Linked DNA regions of Notamacropus eugenii. The protein of the gene in region 3 interacts with the protein of the main gene of each other region in a pairwise test. Links are inferred from orthologs where the notes say so. Each region holds a gene or a part of one and is shown on either strand. Other genes may lie near its edges.

What was found.
Region 1: the proteins of FAM114A1 (region 3) and RAB2B interact in binary tests that used the Homo sapiens proteins (3 or more experiments, as listed by UniProt). The two-hybrid records come from large-scale screens. The link is inferred for Notamacropus eugenii from reciprocal best matches to the Homo sapiens genes FAM114A1 and RAB2B.
Region 2: the proteins of FAM114A1 (region 3) and RAB2A interact in binary tests that used the Homo sapiens proteins (3 or more experiments, as listed by UniProt). The two-hybrid records come from large-scale screens. The link is inferred for Notamacropus eugenii from reciprocal best matches to the Homo sapiens genes FAM114A1 and RAB2A.

The regions. Positions count from the first base shown.
Region 1 is NC_092878.1:12,451,940-12,459,100, reverse strand, and holds the start of RAB2B (ras-related protein Rab-2B), read right to left. Parts: upstream 3,044-7,161; 5' UTR 2,975-3,043; coding exon 2,929-2,974; intron 2,648-2,928; coding exon 2,576-2,647; intron 130-2,575; coding exon 62-129; intron 1-61. Other genes in the region: TOX4 (TOX high mobility group box family member 4), read left to right, coding at 3,387-3,392, 3,639-3,707. UniProt on the Homo sapiens protein: The small GTPases Rab are key regulators of intracellular membrane trafficking, from the formation of transport vesicles to their fusion with membranes. Rabs cycle between active GTP-bound and inactive GDP-bound states.
Region 2 is NC_092875.1:279,689,294-279,696,849, reverse strand, and holds the start of RAB2A (ras-related protein Rab-2A), read right to left. Parts: upstream 3,058-7,556; 5' UTR 2,646-3,057; coding exon 2,600-2,645; intron 1-2,599.
Region 3 is NC_092877.1:92,839,924-92,847,402, reverse strand, and holds the start of FAM114A1 (protein NOXP20), read right to left. Parts: upstream 3,045-7,479; 5' UTR 2,941-3,044; intron 264-2,940; exon of another isoform or gene 72-263; intron 1-71. UniProt on the Homo sapiens protein: May play a role in neuronal cell development.

The DNA.
Region 1 (7,161 bases), on a different chromosome or scaffold from region 3:
CTTCCCCTTTCCACATAAGCTTAGCTATTGGAAGGGGATGAGCTCTTCTGTTCTCTCTCACCGTGTCCCAGATTTGCAGTTTGATTTGTTTGCCATCAATGTTGACCATACGGGCCCCAAACTCCACACCTGTCGATGAAGAACACAGAATATAACGATGCCATCAATGACTGTCATGTTCAATGACGAGTCAAGGTTCTGGCCCCCATGTTTCAGGTTCCACTTCCTGTGTCTGCTCCAAGCGTAGCCATCCTCCTGGCAGTTGTCTAAACACTTGCTCCATTGCATCTCAGGGTCTATCATTCTTTTTCCTCACCTGGATTTATGTAACTATGCTTCTGCTAATAATCACCTCAAGGTAAAAGTAGCAAGTCAATGTGGAAATTGGCTAGTTTCTTAAACTTGGTTGCATTTTGCACCATTTAACTAATTTGGATGGTTTTTGTGGGGGGGAGGGGTATTGTGATTTTATCAGAGAACTACTGATATAGAAACTCTCCCACTTATGCAGACTGACAATTTGCCTGTACCATAGCCAGGTAAATTTTAAGAGGGTTTCCTGGGGAACCTGCTCATGGTCACATAGTTAGCTAGCATGTATCAGAATTAGGACTTGAAACCCACCCTTCTAAGCTCCAAGGCTAGCTCTTTATCCACTATGCCACGCTGCTTCTCAAATGTTGACCATTGTAAAAATAAGTTGTAATAAACTTTATAGCTTCTTTTTAAAATATAAGTTGCAAGGTTTAAAATCTTCAATACTAACTTTCCCTGATGTACTCATTCTCTAGTCTTCTTTATGGAACCATAATTATTTATTATAAAGAGGGAAATATGCATTTATTAATTGCATATTATACTCCAGGAACTTTACAAATATTATCTCATTTGATCCTCACAATGATCCTACTATTATTATCCTCATTTTACAGTTGAGGAAACTGAGGCAGAGGTTAAGTGATTTGCTCAGGGTCACACAACTAGTAAGTGTCTGAGGCTTGACTTGAACTCAAGTCTTCCTGACCTCAGGACCAGCATTCTACCAATGTCACCACCTATTACAACCCTAGGATCTATTTGAAAGACATAATATAGTGCATCTTCCCAAGTAATATAGTTTCTTAAGAACTAAAATGCCTAGGATGAGTAAGTTTCTGCATTAGGAACTTACATTCCCTTATTAGACTGTTAATGCCAGGTCTGAGCCAGAAAACAAAAGGTACTGCTATTAAACATATTTGATAACAAAATATGTATTGTCTCCTCCTTTCACTCTAAACTTTGTCATTTCATATAGCATGGAGGCAAAAATTTTAAGGAAAAAGTAGTTTTATCTTAGCTAGCAGTAAAATACTGACTTAGCCAATAGTACTTTTGATGGTGTTCATAATTAAGTTAAGAAGTCTCAAGGAGGGCTAGTTGTAGTCAATGAGGCCACAAGAATTGATTCTGGTTGAAAGCAAACTAATCTCCAAATTCCTTCATCCAGAATATAGTAACTTTTCTTGAAAAAAATTTTCTTTATTTCTCGGATAGTCACAGAACAATTTCAGTAGGCATAAGGATAAGAAAATGTCTATCCTCACTTGCACTTTTCCATAAACATGATCTTAAAGACACTTGGGCTCCTGTGCACAACTACTTGTCCAACTTCTTTGTGTGATGGCAAAAGGCCAGAAGGAACATAAATTCCATGCCAGAATTTGGACAAAATGCTAATTTCCCTGGTGCTACAAAATCCCTGTCTTTTTTTATGAACCCCATATGTCTGGTGACTTCTTGATCAAGCAGGTTTTCTAAGAGAAAATGCTTCTCAGAACTGCTAGTTACATTCCTAGAAACTTTTGCTTCTTTCCTCTTATGCACAGGCTTTTCTCCATATGATGGAAGCTAAAAATTTTACCTCTCTTTTATTACTGTAATGAAGCTGTTACCGTACCATAATTTTTCTTATCACTAGCCATATATACTTAATCTCTTTGTTCCTTCTCTGCCACTACCAGTAACAATTTTTCTCTTAAACCCCTGCAAAAAGGCATTGCATCTGAAAATGACAAATATTGCCACTCGGGAATTCACTAAGCTCTTTCACAACTCACAAACCAACCAATCAATTTTTCTCTTGTCGTTACAACATATTAAAGCTGGAAGGATACTCCTTTTATTTTACAGATGAGGATACTGAAGCTTACGGAGAAGCAAGCTGCCCGAGGTCACCCAGACTGCAGCTACTCTTTGGTTTCTTTGTCAGTTATTTTTATTGTCTCCAACTTGACAATCACTTGACAGCACTCTTTCACAGACTCACAGAATTCAAAGCTGGAAGGGCTCTTAGTTACTGCTCTGATTTTATGGAGGGAGACCCTGAGCTCTAGAGACATGAAATGACTTTCCTAAGCTAGTCAAATCTATTTACCCCCAATTCATGCTCTTTCCATGAGACGAATCTGCCTTCGCCATTTTCTCTCCATTTATTAACACAACTTTTGGCTACTTAAAAGTGGAAGCCCATGGCTGCTAACTTTTAACTTCACACTTCTCACCCACTTTCCTTAGGGTGGCACAAAGTCCTTACCTATGGTGAGGTCGTGGACAGGCTGGAACCGCTTGTCTGTAAACTGCAGAAGGAGACATGACTTGCCCACACCTGAAAGAGGACGTGGGGACTCAGGTCCATCCTCCCGAGAGAGGAGGTGGGCAGGGCAGCCCAGAGGAAGGCACCAGGTGTGGCTGGCGTCGGCTCCCCCCGTGTCGCAAAGGGGCCAGAGCTCCTTCAGCCCCGCCCCGCCCCGCCCCCATCCTGGCCCCGCCCCCGACAGCGCCCCTCCGGGTGGCCCCGCCTCCCCAACGAGCCCCGCCCTCCCCTGGTGCCACCTTGGGCTTGCGAGCCCAGTCTCAGTTTAGCGGATGGCCCCGCTGGCCGAGTACCTGTGTCCCCGATGATGATGTACTTGAAGAGATAAGCGTAAGTCATGGTCCCGACCGCTGGTCCTCCCGACTTCTCTGGCCACCCACCTCCGGCCTCTCTAGCCACGCGACCTAGCGATATCTCTACTTCCCCATCCGGTCCCTCTAGCCCGAGATCACGTCTCTAGTGCTCTCCTCAGGAGCAGTTCAGTCGTCATGTGTGGCTGTAACTTGACACTTCCTCCCTCGAAGCCTCTGAGCCTCCAGCGGGCATTCTGGCCTCCGGCCGAAGGGGGCGCTGCCCAGCTCCTCATTTCCGCTCAGTCGCCTCCCTGCTGCAAACTCACCGCTTCTGCCAAAGAATCCTCCAATCCTCGGAGGGAGCCGCGAGTGTCGGCGGAAGTGACGCGTGTTCCGTTTCCGGCGGGGGCGGTGGGCGCTATGAGGGAGCTGAAGCGGTGGTAGCGGTTGTGTTGAAGATGGAGGTAGGATCCTGAGCCCGAAGGAGGCGGGAGGGAGAGAGAGAGAGAGAGAGAGAGAGAAAGAAAGAAAGAAAAGAGGCGAGAGGGAGAGGAGCAGAGGAAGGGGCCTGGGCGGAGAAGCGGCCGACGGGCGAGAGGAGCGGGGGAGGCGGCGGCGGGGGTCGGGGCAGAGTCAGAACCCGTCGCTCCAGCCTGACTCCCCGGCCCCCCCCACCCCTAACATCCCCGCGGGTTTCTTTTGGTTTCCAGTTTCCCGGAGGAAATGACAATTACCTGACGATCACAGGGTCCTCGCACCCCTTCCTGTCGGGGGCCGAGGTGAGCAAGATTGTTGCCAACGCGGGTGGAAGGGCGCCAGGCCCTTGGGGGCGGCGGGGGGGACCCGGGGCTGGGGAAGCGCTCTCGGACAGCCCAGCGCAGCCTAGAAGGGCGGGCCGAGGAGGAGGAAAGGCCGCAGGAGGGTCTCGAGTGGAAGGAAGAAGTGAGAGAGGCCCGAGAGGTTTTGCGGGAGGCAGTTGGAGCCACCGGACGACGCAGCCTCAGGGTGGAGGTTTTGTGGAAGAGCTGAGGTGGAAAGTGTAGTCGGAGCGGCTGGACCTGGCTTGGTTTTGTGGGGGGAGGGTGTTGTGACTGTAAGAAGCAGCGTGGTTTAGTCTCCACGTCCATACAAGCCTGAAGGGCCTGTTCAGAGCCGGTCCGTTTGTGCTGGGGCGCACTGCCTTTCCCTCCAGGTGATGAGAGTGTATTTTGTGAAGCAGAAGGGATGGCTGTGAAGAGTCTTAAGGTTCTTAACTTGAATCGTGGATCACGTGCTCCTGCCACTATCTTGGGAAGCAGACTTGGGTATCTCAGAAGACAGAAAGCCTTTCTTGGGTTTTTTTATTTTTTACTATTTTTAATGGAAGACCCAGTCTTTTTTTTAATGCAGCAAACATCCCAGGCCATCCTACCTGTTCTGCTGAGTTTGCTATCAATGAATGAGTTATTCTGCTTATCTGCAGTTGCTTCTTTTAACTCTTAGCCTTAGCGTTAGGTTGGGAAACTGGGCAGCTGCTTGTTAGATTTCAGCTCTTCTATTGACTTCTGTTTCTACTGAGATTCCCTATAAATCTTCAGCCTTAGCTACCCAGCCTAAATGGAAGACCTTTTAAGATCATGATGCTAAATGACCGATTCTTCTGGCTTCAGGGAAGCCAAAAACCAGACCTTTAACACGTTTAGATTGGTTCTTTGTGAATTCCAATGTGTTTTCTCATCTTCAGCTTCTCCTTGACTCATGCTTTTAGCGTCATTAAATTGTTTGGAATGTTGTGAACTCCAGAGTATTATCCTCATCCGTATTTAGATACTGCAATACTTCGAAATCCCATAATTTTATTTATGGGAATGTGCCAACCATGTGGCCCATAAGCTCTCTATTGCTTAGTACATGGCTTACTGAATTACTGTGGCTAAAAAAATTAATCATCTATTGGCCAATCATCTGGTGAGTATGAGACTATTTTATATTAGCTGGATTGGTCCTTAGACAAGTCAAACTCTTTGCATTTTTAGTGAGACCATTTGGAACTTGTTCCTTTTAAAGCCAAGATCACCCCCATTCTACAGTGAGACTTCAAAGTAGGATACTAGATGGAGGAGCCCTAATTTGTCCAGAGTTTTGAGTTCATCTGTGTAGAAGCTCCTGATTTGGACCTTCCTTCCATTGATACAGATAGGCAACCCATCCTTGGACATTAAAAGGTTAAGTGACTTGTCCATGATTATGTGGCTAGTATTTATTAAATGGGGTTACAAAAGTGGCATTCTAACCCCAGATATAAATGACTTAGATTATTCGCTATTTTAGATTCTGTTCCTTCTATTTTCTTGGATAATCAAGAATCACATCTGTCTGTCAATAATCAATAAACAAGTACCGCTACTACTAATGATGATGAACATTACTAGGATGCTTTAAAGTTTGCAAAGCACTTTAAGTATATTGTGATTTAATCTTCACAATGATCCTGTGAGGTAGATGGCTATTATCTCCATGTTATAGATTAAGAAACTTTGGTAGAGAGAGGTTGAGTGACTTGTTAAGCGACTGAGTCAGGATTTGAACTTAGATCTTCTTTGACTCCAAGTCAGAGTCTGTTCATTTGATATAATTAAGTCTAACCATTATACTACCATGTATCAGTCACTATACTAAGTACTAGAGATATATACTAAAAGAAAATTGTCCCTGCCCTCAAGGAACTTCATTCTAACAAATATATGTGGTTCCCTTCTTATTTATAATCAAGTGCTTGGAAAGCTGGAAAGTGCTATAGAAATAAATGTTAGCTATTATTATAATGTTATATAAAGAATGTTGTAGATTTAGGGCCATTCTACAGTTTTTTGACCCCTCTAGAGGCAGCTAGGTGGTACAGTGGCTGTCAGAAAGACCTTAATTCAAATCTGGCTTCAGCTAGCTTTGTAACTAGCTTTGTAACTCTAGGCAAGTCACTTACCGTCTGCCTCAGTTTCCTCAACTGTAAAATGGGGATGATATCACCACTTTACCTTTTAGGGTTGTTAGGAGGATCAAATGAGATAATGTCGGCTCTATTAGAAAGGTGCTTATTCCTTTCCCTTCTCCTGCTTGGGGGAAAAAAGACAATATACTCCTTTGGGAGAAAAGCAGTCATTTTTGGTGATGTTAGAACCTTGTCTGCAATATGTATTACCCACCCCAGAAAGCCTTACCATTTGTCATTGCACAGATTGATCATCACTATAAGCTTGTAGCTAGAAAAGCTGTTAGATGTGTAGCATATGGACCACACATTTTGTGGGGGGTTTGGTTATTTTTTTTTTAATATTGAAAGTACACTGTCTCCCATTTTAGAAGCAATCAATATTCTAGAACATAGTTTCACTGAATGATTATCAGGAGTAGTTAATAGTTTTTATCTATACAAATAAGATGCCACTGTAAGGAAGGACTCTGTTGTGTTTTAAATTGTTTCTGTGTCCTGATGGATTTACCATAATAATAGTGCTTTTTTTTAATCATGTTAGTGCACATTTCCAGTGAAAGAAAATAATTTTGATGTCCTGTATTCATTATAATTCGATTTTACTTTTTACTCTGCTGATCTTTAATAGTAATAATGGAAGATTAGAGTGAATCTCTCCATTTGTTATGGTATGTAGTTGACTTTTTTATGTTCTTTTATTTTTACGACTAATTTCCCTTCATATCGGTAAAATCTGATTACATCAAATGCACGTGTGGTCGGTCTTTATGGTGCTTCTTTGTGGTCTAAGGACTACTCACTTGTCCTGATGTTTATGATAAAGCAAAAAACCCCAAGTACTAAACTTTCATTTAGTTATGTTTCTCTTAAAAATTAAATTATATTTGTCATGGTTTTTTTTTTTTTCTATTACTTGTTGTCTATTTCTTGGTGACCTTTTGGGTCAGATTCTTTTCTTCCCTAGCTAAAGTTCTCAGAAGACTGAAAAAATTTGAAAACTGTTTCTACATTGTAATATATGTATTATTCTGGCCTCCATTAATGTATTCGCCTCTCTTTATGAGCATGTAGCTATATATTGAAGGAAGCTAAGTTCTTCAGAGTAATTTGGGGCCACTAAGAAGAAGCATTTTCCTTTGTTGCAAGGTGTTGAGGTTTGGGGATAGGAACTGGAAATTGCAGTAATTTTTTTTCTAAAGGCAGAAGACAGAACTTAACTAAAGAAGCAGTTACACTTCACTTTTCTGTACTCTCCACCTCAG
Region 2 (7,556 bases), on a different chromosome or scaffold from region 3:
GAATGTCAGAGGTGATATCTGCACTAGTTTTTTATGCTACATACACACAAAGTAATGATAGGAAAAAAGGGAAGCACTGGAGCCAATCAGGAAAAGGTCTCATTCAGAAAAGGTGGCATTTAGTGGCAGTTTGAAAAAAAACAAGGAATCCTAAGAGGTTACAGTGGGGAGAGAGAGTTCATTCCAGGCAGAGGCACCCACAGCCCATGCAAAGAAAGGCAAAGAAGTGAGATTGCAGAATCTTGGTGAACTGTAGGGTGCTCAAAAGGGAATAATGCACAAACAAGGTTCAAAAGGTCCGTAGGGCCAGGGTTGTGAAGGGCTTTAAAAGTCAAATATAGTTTAAGGTGACCACTGAGGTTTACTGATTCAAAGAGTGACACAATGAGACCTGTGCCTTATGAAAATCACATGACTTTAGTAGCTAAATGACCAAGAAAAAGGAAAACATTTTGGTGGGAATAAACAGGATGCTTGGGGGCTGCTTTGGATAAATTCCACCCACAACATCTAATGACAGATCCTTTTCTCCAAAGGCAACCACGTGGCCATCTCTCTTTACTGCCTTACTTTCATTACTTGGTTATCTAAAATATGTTATTTTCAAAGACTTCTCATATTCCCAGTTCCTATCCCTTTCCACTAGGACAGACTATCTTTGACTAACAGTCTAAGCTCCACCCCCTCTCATGCTCAGGTGTACCATAGCAAATTTAGAAATTTGTATGTATTACCAAATAAAAAGTCCAGGAAACTGAATTATCTAGCATACTATCTTGAAAACAATTTATTTCCCATATCCCTTAAGAACATGCGGATTCTACCAGTGTTTTAGTGTCTCTTGTCATTCAATTAAGGGATTTTTGTGAATGTACTATTAAGTACTGCCACATCTTTGGGGCAACTGCAAGAATATATCCAAAGTTGTGCAAGAGTCACCAATGAAATCAGACTCTTGTATATTAATAGTTGAAGTTGTGACACCAAGTTAACTAACACCTGAATGAGGCTGTTTTATTATTAGATTCAAAGCAGTATACCAAAACAAAAAGTATTAAGTGAACTGATTTCAGATACAATAAATCTAACATCCTGGGGTACAATTTTAAGAACATTTAAGTTTCTAGCTGCTTCAAAAGGAAGCCTGGTCTCCCATAAATTACCTCCTGGATTAACCCAAGAGAACCTAAGTTCCTTAAGGGTAGAAACTTTTTCTTTGGTAATACGACAACACCACCTTACAGAGAGTACGGACTTAGCAGTCAACAAACATATATTAAGCACCTATGTGTTAGGTATGAGGGATAAAAGGAAAGCAAAAACAAAAGACCTAGTTTCTGCTCTCCAGGAGCTCAGTCTAATCTACATACAAACAAAATCTTATGCAGAAAGAATTCATGCAAGACTATTAAGATGATCAGAAAAGACTTCCTGTAGGTGAGATTTTAAATGGAACTTGAAGCCAAGGGACAAAGACTAGAAGGGAGAGAATTCAAGCCAAGAGACAGCCAGTGAAAATACCTAGGGTCAGGAGATGAAGTGTTTTGTTCAAGGAGGCCAGTGTCACTAGACAGCAGAGTATGGGGGTGGGGGAGTAGAGAGTAAGGTGTAAGAAAACTAGAGAGGTAGGTGATCAGGCAGGTTAGGACGGGCTTTGAACAAGAGAGAGACGATTTTCTATTTGATCCTACCGGTGATAGGGAGCCAATGGAATTTTATGGAGTCGGTGAGTTAGGATTTAGCTTAGAAAGCTAAAACATGGTATATTTCCCAAATCCTAGTATTTCAATGTTACACATTAATAGGATTGATATGTAAAAACTTAAAAAAAAAACCCTACAACTGGCTTAATTACCTAAGATATGGTGTATTTCCTAAATCCTAGTATCCCTGTAACACATTAATAGGATTGATATACAAAAAGTAAAAACAAAACAGTTGTAGAACTGGCAATAGCAACTGTTTGCAGTAACTTGTCAGCAATCAGGAAAGATCTTCAGGATCCAGTTTGACACTCTGGTGACCTCACAAGGTTTTTTCCCAGGGTTCTAAGGCCAAAACCATTGTTGCCTTAAGCGAGATGTAAAAGGTTATCGCACTCCCTGTTCGGGGAGGCAAGCCCAAAGCCTTCCCGGCCTAGGAACTGCAGTAGCAGCCGGGACATCATCATTAAAGTCACGAAAGATGATTTCCAAGTAAAAAATACGCAAGCAGCCAACAGCCTCCCGGCCCGGCCCGGCCCCTCTACCTGCCCGCAGGCCGGGGGAGGGGCTGCGGGAGGGTGGGTGGGAGCTCCAGGCCTGGCCCAACCCTCCGCGGCAGCGGTCTCGGGGGGTCACACGTGGCCGTCCCGGAGCCCGAGGCCTGGAGCGGCTGGGCCCGGGCTGGGCGGGGGCCCGGCAGGCCAGGCCGCAGAGGCCGCTCGCAGTGCCCACGTCACCGGCTCCAGCACTGCGGAAATGGAGCCGCGGCGGGAGGAGGGGAAAGGGTGGAGGAGAGGCCGGAGGCGGGGGAGGGAAGCACCCGCCGCCAATCGCGCTCGGCCCCGCGGCACGGGGGGCTCCGGGGGCCGCAGCCCACCCGTCGCCGGGCGACTCACCTGTGTCGCCGATGATGATGTATTTGAAGAGATAGGCGTACGCCATGGCCGCGGCCGCTCCGTGCCCCCGGCACACGGCTCCTCCTCCGCCTCCTCCCCCGAGCCGCGGCTCCTCACCCCGGCCCTGATCAAGATCTCAGACGCCGGCGTGCCCGCCCAGAAGAGGAGCTCGGCGGCAGCGACGGCGCGGAGTCGGCAAGCCGAGGGAACCGAGAAAACGCCAACACGACGCCGGCAGAGGCGAGATGAGCCTCGCTGCCCAGCCCAGCCCCCTCCGACCTCGACCCGGAAGAGCAGCCGCTGAGCCGGCAGTCGGAGGAACGGAGGCGGATCGCCGGAGGATCGCCCTCCCCCGCCCGTTCCCCCGCCCGTTCCCCCGCCCCCTGCTACGGAGGGCGGGGCCCTGAGCGGAGCTGAAGGGAGGGAGTGGGTGCGGCCAAGCCCAGATTGGAAAGAACAGCGGGCGGAGGGGGAGGGGGCGGGGACTGGAGGAGGGGCGCGTCTCGCGCACGCGCACACCAGACGTGCCGGGCGGTTCGTGCTCCGAGGTGGGTGGGCGTTCCCTGCGCTCGTGGGGGGGAAAACCCAAAACCTACGTCTGAGACCTTTTCTGGTGATAGTTGGAGGAAACAAATGGTCATTTGGAAAACAGTTGAAAAATGTGAAAAAGAAATCCTTACCATCTCCAGAGCACCAGTTCCCTGACACTACCTGCCAGCTAGGCATCTTCATCCGGAGGTCCCTGAAGGCGCCTGTCAGGCTCTACGCTTGTCAATGGACAAGCGGTGTGATATTGCTACATGTTACCATGTGCCAGATCGGATGCCAAAGCTGGAATGTCCAAAAACTAGGCGTGGAGAAGAACCAGCCTTTGCCCTCAGGGGGCTTACATCCTAATGGGAGCCAGACAACAAATAAAAGGCAGCAGAAAGGGGAGGGAGAGATCAAGGGGAGGAAGGTCCAGGTAGCCAAGTTTGGGGAGAGGGCAGGGGGTAGCCAGAGGAGAAGGGAATACAGAGTTGTTCTTACCCAATCACAGGGAAGGGCCACAGAGGTAGAGGATATTTTCAGTGTGGGGATTCTGGGGTTGCCATGATCTTCCAGGAAAAGAGATTTCTGGAAAAGAATAGATTCTGGAATACTGACTGGTAAGAAATTAAGATATGGAAGATGCTTTGCAAACCTTAAAGCGCCATAGGAATGTTAGCTATTATTCTCTGAAAAGGAATCCTTTATCTTGTCAATCTTGTTCCTTTCTTTCAGTTTGTATTATTTCTCCTGGGGTCCACGCTGTTACCCAGGTTACTAACCTCAGAAGTATCCTTAATTGTGCCCATTCCCTTACCCTCCTCCACATTTCATCAGTTGCCAGGTCTTATTTATTCCACCTCTCCCATATTATACCCTACTTTCCACTGGTACAACTCCCACCCAACCGCCATTGTCAGATCCTCATTACTTCACAAATTGATTTCTAGGAGAGCACCCCAAAGACTAACCTGGCTTCTATATATAAAGTCAGGCTACCCACTTAAAGCCTATCACAATCTAGGTCCTATCTGCCTTTTCACTTCCTCTCATATAGTCTTCATTCCTAATACCTGTTCTTTAACCAGATCTGGGCATTCCATCTGTAGTCTGCCCTCTTATAGATTGCCCTTCATGCTTAGAATGAATTCACTTCCTAACTCTTATGTTCCCTTACTTCATTTGAGACTAAATATAGGTACCACCTTATATTGGAGCAAAATTTTACTCATCCCTTGTATATTCAAGTAATCTCTCCTTCCTGTGTACTTATATCTGTACATATTGTAATCTTAACTGAATAGAAATTCTGTAAGGGCAGTAACTGTTGATTTCTCTTTTTAATCCTCAATACCCTGCATATATGTCAAACTGAAATGGAGAGTCTTATAGATTTAAAATTGCCTTAGGAACATTAAAATGTGTTTTGTGTAACCTTGCTCACAAAATTAACATGTTTTGAGATATTAAAATTTAGTTCAGTCAGCAGAGACCAGTGGAATAGGTTAGGTACTCAAGACACAGTAGTCAATGAATACAGCAGTCTATTTTTTGATAAACCCAAGTACCCCAGCTTCTGGGATAAGAACTCATTGTTCAACAAAAATTGCTGGGAATACTGAGATAGGGCATAGACCAATGCCTGATGCTGTACACAAAAATAAAGTCCAAATGAGTACATGATCTAGGTATAAAGACTGACAGTATAAATAAATTAGTGGAGCAAGGAATAGTATATTTATCAAACTTATGGAGAAGGGAACAATTTTTGACTAAACAAGAGATAGAAAACATTATGAAGTGCAAAATGGATAATTTTGATTACATTAAATTGAAAAGTTCTTGCACAAACAAACCCAGTGCAGATAAGGAGGGAAGCAGAAAACTGGAAAAGAATTTTTGCAACTAGTATCTGTGATAAAGGCCTCATTTCTAAAATATATAGAGAACTGAGTCAAATGTACAAGAATATGTCATTCTCCAATTGATAAATGGTTGAAGAATATGAACAGGCAGTTTTCAGAAGAAGAAATTAAAGCTATCTATAGTCATATGAAAAAATGCTCTAAATCACTATTGATTAGAGAGATGCAAATCAAAACAACTCTGAGGTACCATATTACACCTATCAGGTTGGCTAACATGACAAAACAGGAAGATGATAAATGTTGGAGAAGATGTGGGAGAGTTGGAACACTAATTCGTTGTTGGTGGAGCTTTGAGCCCATCCAGCCATTCTGGAGAGCAATTTGGAACTATGCCCAAAGGGCTACAAAAATGTGCATACCCTTTGACTTAGCAATACCACTTCTAGGACTCTATCCCCAAGAGATCATGAAAATGGGAAAGGGTCCCACATGTACAAAAATATTTATAGCAGCTCTCTTTGTGGTAGCCAAAAATTGGAAATCAAGAAGATGCCCATCAATTGGGGAATGGCTGAATAAATTGTGGTATATGAATGTAATGGAATACTATTGTGCTATAAGAAATGATGAACAGGAAGACTTCAGAAAGGCCTGAAAGGACCTATATGAACTGATGTTGAGTGAAAGGAGCAGAACCAGGAGAACTTTGTACACAGCAACAACCACAGTGTGCAAGGAATTTTTCTAGTAGACTTAGTACCTCATTGCAATAAAAAGACTTAAAAAATTCCCAATGGACCCTTGAGGCAAAATACTTTCCAGATCCCAAGAAAGAACTATGGAATTGGATGGCAAAATGAAGCAATTTTCTTTTGTATTATGTTTTGTTTTGTTTAATGATTTCTCCCATTCATTTTAATTCTTCTATGCAACATGATTAAGATGAAAATGTATTTAATGGGAATATAAATATGAAATTGTATGTCAGATCAGGGAGGGAGTGGGAAAGGAGAGGGGAAGGAGGGGAAAAAATCTAAGATATATGGAAATGATTATAGAACATTGAAAACAAATAAAATAATTTAAATAAAAAATAGAAAAAAGTTTAGTTCATTCAAACAGTAATTACACATTAAGACAAGAACATAACTACTATGCCCTCTCAGACAGATATCTTTGTGATGGTAAATTAGGTCATCTTTTCTCTCAATTTTTATCTAGTCTTTAGTCATTGAAAATGCTTTGCCTCAGACAAACTGGGACCTGGGAAAGACCTTAATTTAGAAAGGCCAAGGTTACCCACCACATCTAGGGCCATGGTCAGTCATCTTGACTTTCATCTTGCTACTGAACTTCGTAACAGCAGGGACCCTAGCATACACAGGAAGGCCTGCTGCACAGGTTCTTAGGTCTGGTTTTCTAAAAGGAACGCAACTTTTGAGGGGTCAGCAATCAATTTTAATCAAACACATATATCATTCACTTAGGTAAGGGGGAAAAGTCAACACCCTGAAATTTAGAGAAAATACAAATAGAAATTACAAACAGAAAGACCAACAGGCAGGGCTTCCAACTGTCTGACCATAGACAATACATACATAGATATCAGACGGGGAAGCACCAATATCTGGGTTTTCAAAGCCAGGGGTCTCCTTAGTAGCTACCCAGAATCTCATCTGACACTCAAACCTTCTTCCAAAAAAATAACCCCAAAAGCAAAACCTCACCTCAGAGTTATATATATATATATATAACCTTTGCAGGACTGGAGGGCATGACCCTTGTGACCCAGTTCCTCAAAGGTATCTGAGGCCTATCAATGGGTGAGGAAGATCTTTAACTCTTCCCATCCACCCACCATTAACCTTACATTAACCTTATAGACTTCCATGACTCTGAGGGGAGAATTTTACTTAAAAGTAATTCACAGGAAAGTCAAGACATTACTTTGTTGATATCAATGATCATCTTCAAGAATGAAGAAAGAACAACTATTCCAGAGAGCAAATAAACAAGAGGGACCTTATTAAATTACCTTTTAATTCAATATAGTTTTACTCTTGAAAAGTTGCATCATACTGCTTATCTACAGTATTCATAAATAGCAATGTTTTTATTGCATAGTCTTTAGAAAATATTTTTGGAAACTAAAAGCATGAGTAACAGTAAATATCTCATAGCAAATATTTTGTGCATCCTTTAAAATTCATTATTTAAAATTTTTCAGGTTTTTTTTCCTCTCCAGCACTTTATTTCCTCTATCACTCTCTTACGTAGGTTCCCAAAGTGGGTGATACTGCCCCATGGGGGATGTTGGAATGATCCAGGGGGCCAAAGAAGCCTTGGGTGCAATTGGGGAGCATTGAACAAAAATAAGGGGGCAGTGGAAGCATAAGGAAAGAAGAAAAGATAAAATTTTATAATTTCTTGGTTTCTCATACAGTCATTAATTTCCATTTGCTCCATTCTAATTTTTAAAGAACTATTTTTTTCAGTGACCTTTTGAACCTTTTCTATTTGGCTAATTCTGCTTTTTAAAGCATTCTTCTCCTCATTGGCTT
Region 3 (7,479 bases):
GGGCAAGTTACTTAACCTATCAGCCCTCTAGGCAAACTCTGTACCACCATAATTATAGACCAAGTGCCTACCTGTGATGGAGGAGGAAGTTGCCTTATCTAGGAGGTCTCTGTATCAATGAAATCACAGGTTCAGTCCTTATCCTTTATTTACTTCGTATATACTTAAGTATATGCAAATATTGTTTCCCTCAATTCAGCATCAACTCTTTGGAGGCAAGATTGTTTCATTTCTGACTTTGTATCTCTAGTACCTAGAACAGTCTGGAACATAGTAGGCAGTTAATAAACAGTTTTTGATTGATTTTAGGTAAAGAAATTGTTAGAGACACAGTATTGCATAGTGGATAGCGGGTCATTTTAGTGTCAAGAACACCTAAGTTCAAGTCTTGTGACTTATTGTGTCAGAAGTCACACTTATTGTGTGACTATGGCCACTTAAATTCTCAGGGACCTACCAAATTTTCTAAGACGGTAACTTACAGAATTGCCCCATTTCTACTCTGGGAGTTCCCTATACAGATGAAATAAAAGGTCTAGAGTCTAGAGATTCCACACTAAAAAAAAGTGGGAGGTGGTGGGTGGTGGCGGTGGTATTGGCGGTGGAGGAAGAAGAGGGGGAAGGGTTAAGACTAATTCTTTCACGTCTTTTTAATACAGATTGGTACCAAGGCCCTCAACTAGTATTAGCTAGTACTCCCCCAATTTTATCAGTGAAATTCCTAATTGTAGAACCAAATTTGCTACAGTAAGCAGCACACTAGAGTAAACGTAAGCAGTATACTTAAGCTAAAGTAAGCAATATACTAGGACCTGAAGAGGGGTAAGAGGAGAAGAAGCTACCTGATCCCTTCTCTCTCTCTGCCAGCTACATATATACTTCCCACAGGCAAGAAAGTACCAGTTCTAGGCAACTGATAATAACCTGTCAACCAATTTTTACTTTAGCCCTTCCCAGGACTAATGTAATGTGCACACACACTCACACACACACACACACACACACACACACACACTTTTTAAGGCTACATTAATTATGATTTAAAAAATACTGGCACTTTCAAAAGAATCACAGTTAAAATTTACCAAGGTATTTTTGATGACAGTGACTGCAGTAAAGCAACAAATGATACAGTGATGACCTTATAAGAAGGCAAACAGGAAAGCACCAATCTCTGCTCCACCTTTTAAATAATAACTTTCCTATTTGTTTCTTGATACTTGAAATTGTGCCATTAGAAATTCATTCCCTTGGCTTAAAATGTATGCCTTAGTACAGGGTTTCTTAATTTTTTTGTGTCATTGTACTTTTTTGGCATCTGGAGAAGCCGACAGAACCTTTCTCAGAGCTATTTTTTTAAATTTATATAATAAAATATATAAGACAACAAAGGAGACTAATTATATTGAAAGAGTCATAACTTTTTAAAAGTCTATAGGCCCCAGGTTAAGAACCCCTGCCTTAGTATGAGCAAATTTATCAGAACTTTTCCTAAGAGCAGGTATTAAAAGAAGAAAGGGAGTTGAGAGCACTTAGTGGAAGGTCACTGAAGGACAAGAACAGATGAAAAATAGCGGGATACAATGGAAAGTGCTAGATTTATAGTCAATGGACTTGGGTTCACATTCCCAATTCTGCCACTTACTACCTTTTGGAACCTTTGTCAAGTCACTTATGATTTCTGAGCCTCAATTTCCTTGTATGTACAAAATGAGATGGTTGGTCTTTATAATCTCTAAAGTCTGTTCCAGTCCTAAATCTACGAAGTAGGAAGGAAATACTGACAGTATATTTTTGACAACAAAGTTTGTCTAATCCACAATTTTGTCTAGGAGTAGCATAATATTCACATACATATACATCCATACTTATGTATATACACACAGACATATACGCACACCGTTTGCATCCCTCAGCATTACTGGTTGAGAATTCCCTGTTGGGGGAAAGAGACAGACCAGAAGAATATTCTCCACGGAAGACCCTCAGCAGTTTTCAGTATCCTCGAGAAGGGACAGAGTGGGAGTTGGCAGCAGGAAGGCCCTACCTGACCAAAACTTCCGGCAGAGAGGGACTTTCCAGTGAAAATAACTAGTTCCAAAGAAAGTCTTTCTCTAAGACATCCGGAAATACTCATCGGATCCCAGAGCAAATTTGATGGGGAGATGCAGACTACAAGGCGAGGGACAGCAAGCAGACAAAAGACCCCAGCTCTGATCACTCGAGCCCGAACCTGGCCCGCAGCCCAGCCCACTCAACCTTTCCTCCCACCTCTTCTCCTCTCCTCCTTTCCTCTGCTTCAGCAATGAAGGTCTCTCTGACTCTACGAGCACCTGTTTCTCGTCTGCGCGCTAGAAGCAGGGAACTTTGTCAAACTCTGCTCCAATGGAGAGTCTGGAATGGCGCGGTCCAGAGAGGCTGGGATGGGCACTGCAGACTAGTGGGCAAAGGAGATCCGGGGCGCGTGCTTCTGCCTGGGTATTCACCCACAAAACTCCCGCTCCCGAGAGGGTGTGGAGCTGAAAGAAATGCGCCTCTGCCATCACCTTTGCCCCAGTCTTCCCTTCTTTAATTATCCTCTGTCCAAAGTCTGAGCCTCGACACTGGGAGCATCCCCGTCCTTGCCCAGGTACCCTAGCTGCCCGGCTAGGCACAGAGGGGTGAGAGCAGCGCAGCGACAATCTCCCTGCCCTTGATGCCATGCCAATGGCATGTAAGACATGGCAAAGGATCGTGCCCGGTTCGGCGCCAGAGCCTCTGTTGACACTGACCAGATAGCCCACCCCCTGGCCCTCCTGCTGTGCCCAGCCCCGGGGCGCCTGGGACGAGGCACCAAAGCTCCTGCAAAGGCCCTGGAGCGTTGGGACGAGTGACCTCCTCGCGGGGGCCGAGAGAAAGAAAAGAGAGAAAGGAAATAAAAGGGAGCTTTGGGCTCCTTACCGCTCGAGCCGGCAGAGCTGGTCCCCCGAGCGCCCCCTGGCCCTTCCCCGCTCCGCCACGTCGGCAGGGCCAGGGAGAAGCTGGGAGGACCCGGAGGGGGCGGGGCAGGGGTGGGGCCGCGGACGGTCTGGGTCTGGATGGGGCAGCCGGCCCCACCTCCCATCCCCAAGGCTTCGGTGAGAACCCTGCCCGGCCGGCGGGCCGGGGAAGCCCTAAGGAGTGGGCAAGGCAGTCAGAGGCCGGCGGGTACAAGCCCTTCCCAACCCTTCGGGAGAAGCCTTCCGCCGCTGTCCAACAGCCCTACAGCCCTCCTGTCACTCCTGGGAGGTTTGTTAGAACCCTAGGAAGGACTGTCCCCTCTCTGCACCCCCAGTCCCCCAGGAGATCCAGGAGGAATCCTTCAGGCGGAAGATGCGGTTCTTTCTCCTCCTCCTCCTCTTCCTCCTTCTCCTTCTTCCTCCCAGGGAGAACTTTCAGGCCATTTTCTACCTAAGGAAATTCTGGCCTTAAACTGAAGGAGGTCAAACCAGCTCGGTAATGACAGAACCTCACTCAGCCCTCCTGCTCAGTATTCTTTCCGTTATATCATGTCCCCAATTGGAAAATTTGCCTGCTAAGCTCCGTTACTATTAGTTATCTTTTCTCTGGGTTCGCTTCTTCCTTTTCTTGTATAAAAAATACTGATAATTTTTAAATGGCCAGCTAGATAGAGCACAGAAAAATTTCACTGGATGTTAGGAAATACCCCACTTTGTTGTTATGCCTGATTTTAATTGGGAACTGTCCCTTCAGAGCAGGAAAATACTGTATTTTAGTCCATGGACTTAAATCTTAGGAAACAAAAGTGAAATTGTATACGTTAGAACCTCTTTGCGGTTGTAGAAAAGTAATAAGGATAACATGTTTTTTGTTAAATTCTGTTTATACTTAGAGGAATATCCTTCAATCTGGCGCAGATATGGAGGTGTAAGCAAGTCCAGGTCTTCAGAGTGTAATGTTCTAAAGCAATGGATTGTTTTTGGGAGAATATAAACTCCTTGAGAGGGTGAACTATTTAGTTTTTGTCTTTGTGATCTGAGCACCTAGTACTGTGTAAGGGTTTGATAATTGCTTTATGAATTTTTAATTGATTTTGATATGTGACATCTTGAAGATTCAATATTTTATGTTCATACCTGTCGCCTACTAAGTGCATACATACATACTCAGTATGCATGCATACATACGTATATTTGTGTGTGTGTGTGCGTGCGCGCGTGTGTGTATACCATAGTAACAGCTACATTTATTATTGGTTCAGGGTGGTCTCATGGGTACCATAAGGGTATTACCAAGAATAATTGTTTTTTATTGAGGATTCAGAATCCTCTCAAATTTATTGCTAATTGTAAATTAGCTCCTTTTAATCAGAAAAGGAGTTGGAATAAGAGTGACCCACCCCTTTGTCTTTGGGATTGGTCTACTTGGTGCTCTTCAAGAATGAAGGACAAACCACAACTTGATCTTAGTCTGGGTGAACTCTCCCTATCTATTGATTACTGGGTCTATGAGGTTGAGAATCAGTGGTTTTCTAGACTGTACTCCTAAAAGAATCAGCTCATGATGGAATCTGAACTGTTTCCCCGCTAAGATATGATGTTTCTCCTCTTTCCACACTGTGCACAGCCTCGGATTGTGTATTTTGCTATTTTCACCCAAACTTTGATTCTATCCCTCTAGCATGCAGTGATATCAGAGGGAAACAATCTGTTTGGAAAGATAGTAAAGAATAAAAGCCATCAAAACAAACTTTTGCGTCCATATTTTTTCTTTATTATGCCTTTAAATGGTAAAAATCTCATTTAATTCAGAATTACACTATTTTAGTAATTGCTATTTTAGTAAAAAACCACAAAAGTGTTATACCCTTATTCCTTTATGGGAGTTTTAGTTGGTAGTGATTTTTTTTTTCGTATACAGCAATCTTCCTTCTGTAGGGTTAGCTTTTATTTTTCTTTTTAAGAAAAGTCCAGTATCTCAAGAAATCTCAAGAAGTTAAAATATATAGCACTTTCTCAAATAGGTTTACTTTGCCCTACAGATGCTAGCCTCTCTTAAGTCAGTCCTGATATGCTATGAGAACTGCTAAAAAGGCCAAACTGTGTTTCTTGCTGCCACCTGCAGAGAACTGAGAAGGCTCTTACATTTTTATGAGTAAGAATGAATGAGAGGAAGAAGCTAAGCCTTGGTCCTCCTAATAAATGCATAAGTGATGAAGCCCAGCTGCAGGGTACTATGTGTGTTTTTTCATTAGTGACCTTAGGAAAAAATCATTTAAAATTTTGTGTTTCCATAAAATTAGGAAAATACTGATTCGTAAGATTGATTATTGAATGGTCTCTCAATTAAAATATAAAGTCCTATGTGCAGTAAAATTTTAATCGGAATGCTTACAGTATTTTGTTTAATTCACTTTTCTTTTGATTTTGACCTTTGTTCATTTGAAATTCAACAAACATTTTTAATGTCCTACTGTGTGCAAAGGCTCTCCTAAATTGGATGTAGTTCCTATTGCTTAGTAGGGAAGATAAGATGCATGTAATTTATTATAACACAAAATTATGGGTGGTACAAAATGCCATGTGAGATTATTATTGCTGTTGTGTTTGTCCTTCGTTTTGGAAGAGGACCACGACATCAGAGAAATGATGACATGACTTGCACTTGACTTTGTTTGGAGTGAGGCAGGGCTGTGCAGGTCACCAGCCTCACTTCTCCTCCAGAGCCATCTGGATCCAGTGACCAGATATTCATCAGATGCCTGGAGATGACCCAGGATGCAACGGGACACCCTGACCCTTTTAGCCTAAGACCTTTTCAGGTACTCACAGTGAGGTAATGCCCATTATATGAACAGACCTCTTTAAGAAGTAGTCAAGGCATGGTCCCTTTCATTAGGAAAAAAATCAAGCTGGGAGGGCAAGACCTGAGAGTTACTGTTCCAAACAGAAACAACTACCATTGATATTCACTCTAAGCCAAGAGGGTCCAAAAAACATCCGTTAAGTGGAGCTTCTGCAGGGATCTCTTGTGGTCCAATCTATGGGCTTCAGAGTGAACTGGGAGAAAGAAAGAGAGAGAGAGAAGAAAAGAAAGAAGGCAGGAAAGAGAGAGAAAGAAGTAAAGAGAAAAAGTAAAGAAGGAAAGAAAAAAGTAAAGAAGGAAAGGAAGGAAGAAAGGAAGGAAGAAAGGAAGGAAAGCAAGAAAGCAAGAAAGAAAGCAAGAAAGAAAGAAAGAAAGAAAGAAAGAAAGAAAGAAAGAAAGAAAGAAAGAAAGAAAGAAAGAAAGAGAAAGAAAGAAAGAAAGGAAGGAAGGAAGGAAGGAAGGAAGGAAGGAAGGAAGGAAGGAAGGAAGAAAGAAAGAAAGGAAGGAAGGAAGGAAGGAAGGAAGGAAGGAAGGAAGGAAGGAAGGAAGGAAGGAAGGAAGGAAGGAAGAAAGAAAGAGGGAGGGAGGGAGGAAGGGAGGAAGGAAGAAAGAAGAAAGGAAGGAAGGAAGGAAAGAAGGAAGGAAGGAAGGAAGGAAGGAAGGAAGGAAGGAAGGAAGGAAGGAAGGAAGGAAGGAAGGAAGAAAGGAAGGAAGGAAGAAAGAAAGCTGGATAGAAATCTAGCCAGTAAACCCCAAGCTAACTGGGCAGCTTCTGGGCAACAAAATTTGCTTTCCTTTGGAGAGGAGAACGAAAGGGAGAGGGAGAGGACAAACTGAGGAGCTGAGTTACTCAGTTTACTGGGTCCCCATTCAGGCAGCTCATTCTACTCAGGTTGTGTTTGTCCTTTGTTTTCGAAGAGGACCATGACAGCTCCGTGTGAGATCATAGGGAGAATCATGGAAGGCTTCATGTAGGAGGTACCATTTGACTCAGGCTTTAAGGTGTGGGAAGGACTTCAAAGGGTAGAAAATGGTTGGGTACTCAAGATGCAGGGAATAGTGTGAACAAAGGCATGGTGGATGGGAAAGCATCGAGCATTTAGTGGAAGTAAAGTCTAATTTGTCAGAAATGAAGTATATGGAGGGAAAGAGTATGAGCTAAAACTGGGAAGTCCAAGTGCCACTAGGTTGTGGACTCAGGCTAAAGAGTCTAATGTTTATTTAGGAGGCAGTCTGGAGCCAATCAAGGATTTCCAGCAGAAGAATTACGTGATTAAATCTCTGAATGAGAAAGAAATGTGGCAGTAAAACAAAGAGTAAAAATCTTTTCAGACTGTGTTAATATTGAAAAGAACTGATCCTCTCTTGAATGATTCAGGATTTTGCAATGTCTCTAGCCATCATTCTGAACTGGTTGTATAGTACTGTAAATTAAGTGCAGAAGGGCTAGGCTATAAGGATAAATATGCACAGATCTTTGGAGAAATCCTGCAAGATACTTTTTAAAGAACACTATCTTATATGTCTCCATCTCCTCAAATGGGACATAGGGAAAAAAAATTCTAGTTAATTAAAGGTTCCAGTAAATCAAAATTTTGCTGAAATGCTAAATGTGGTAACAATAAATCAAGAAAA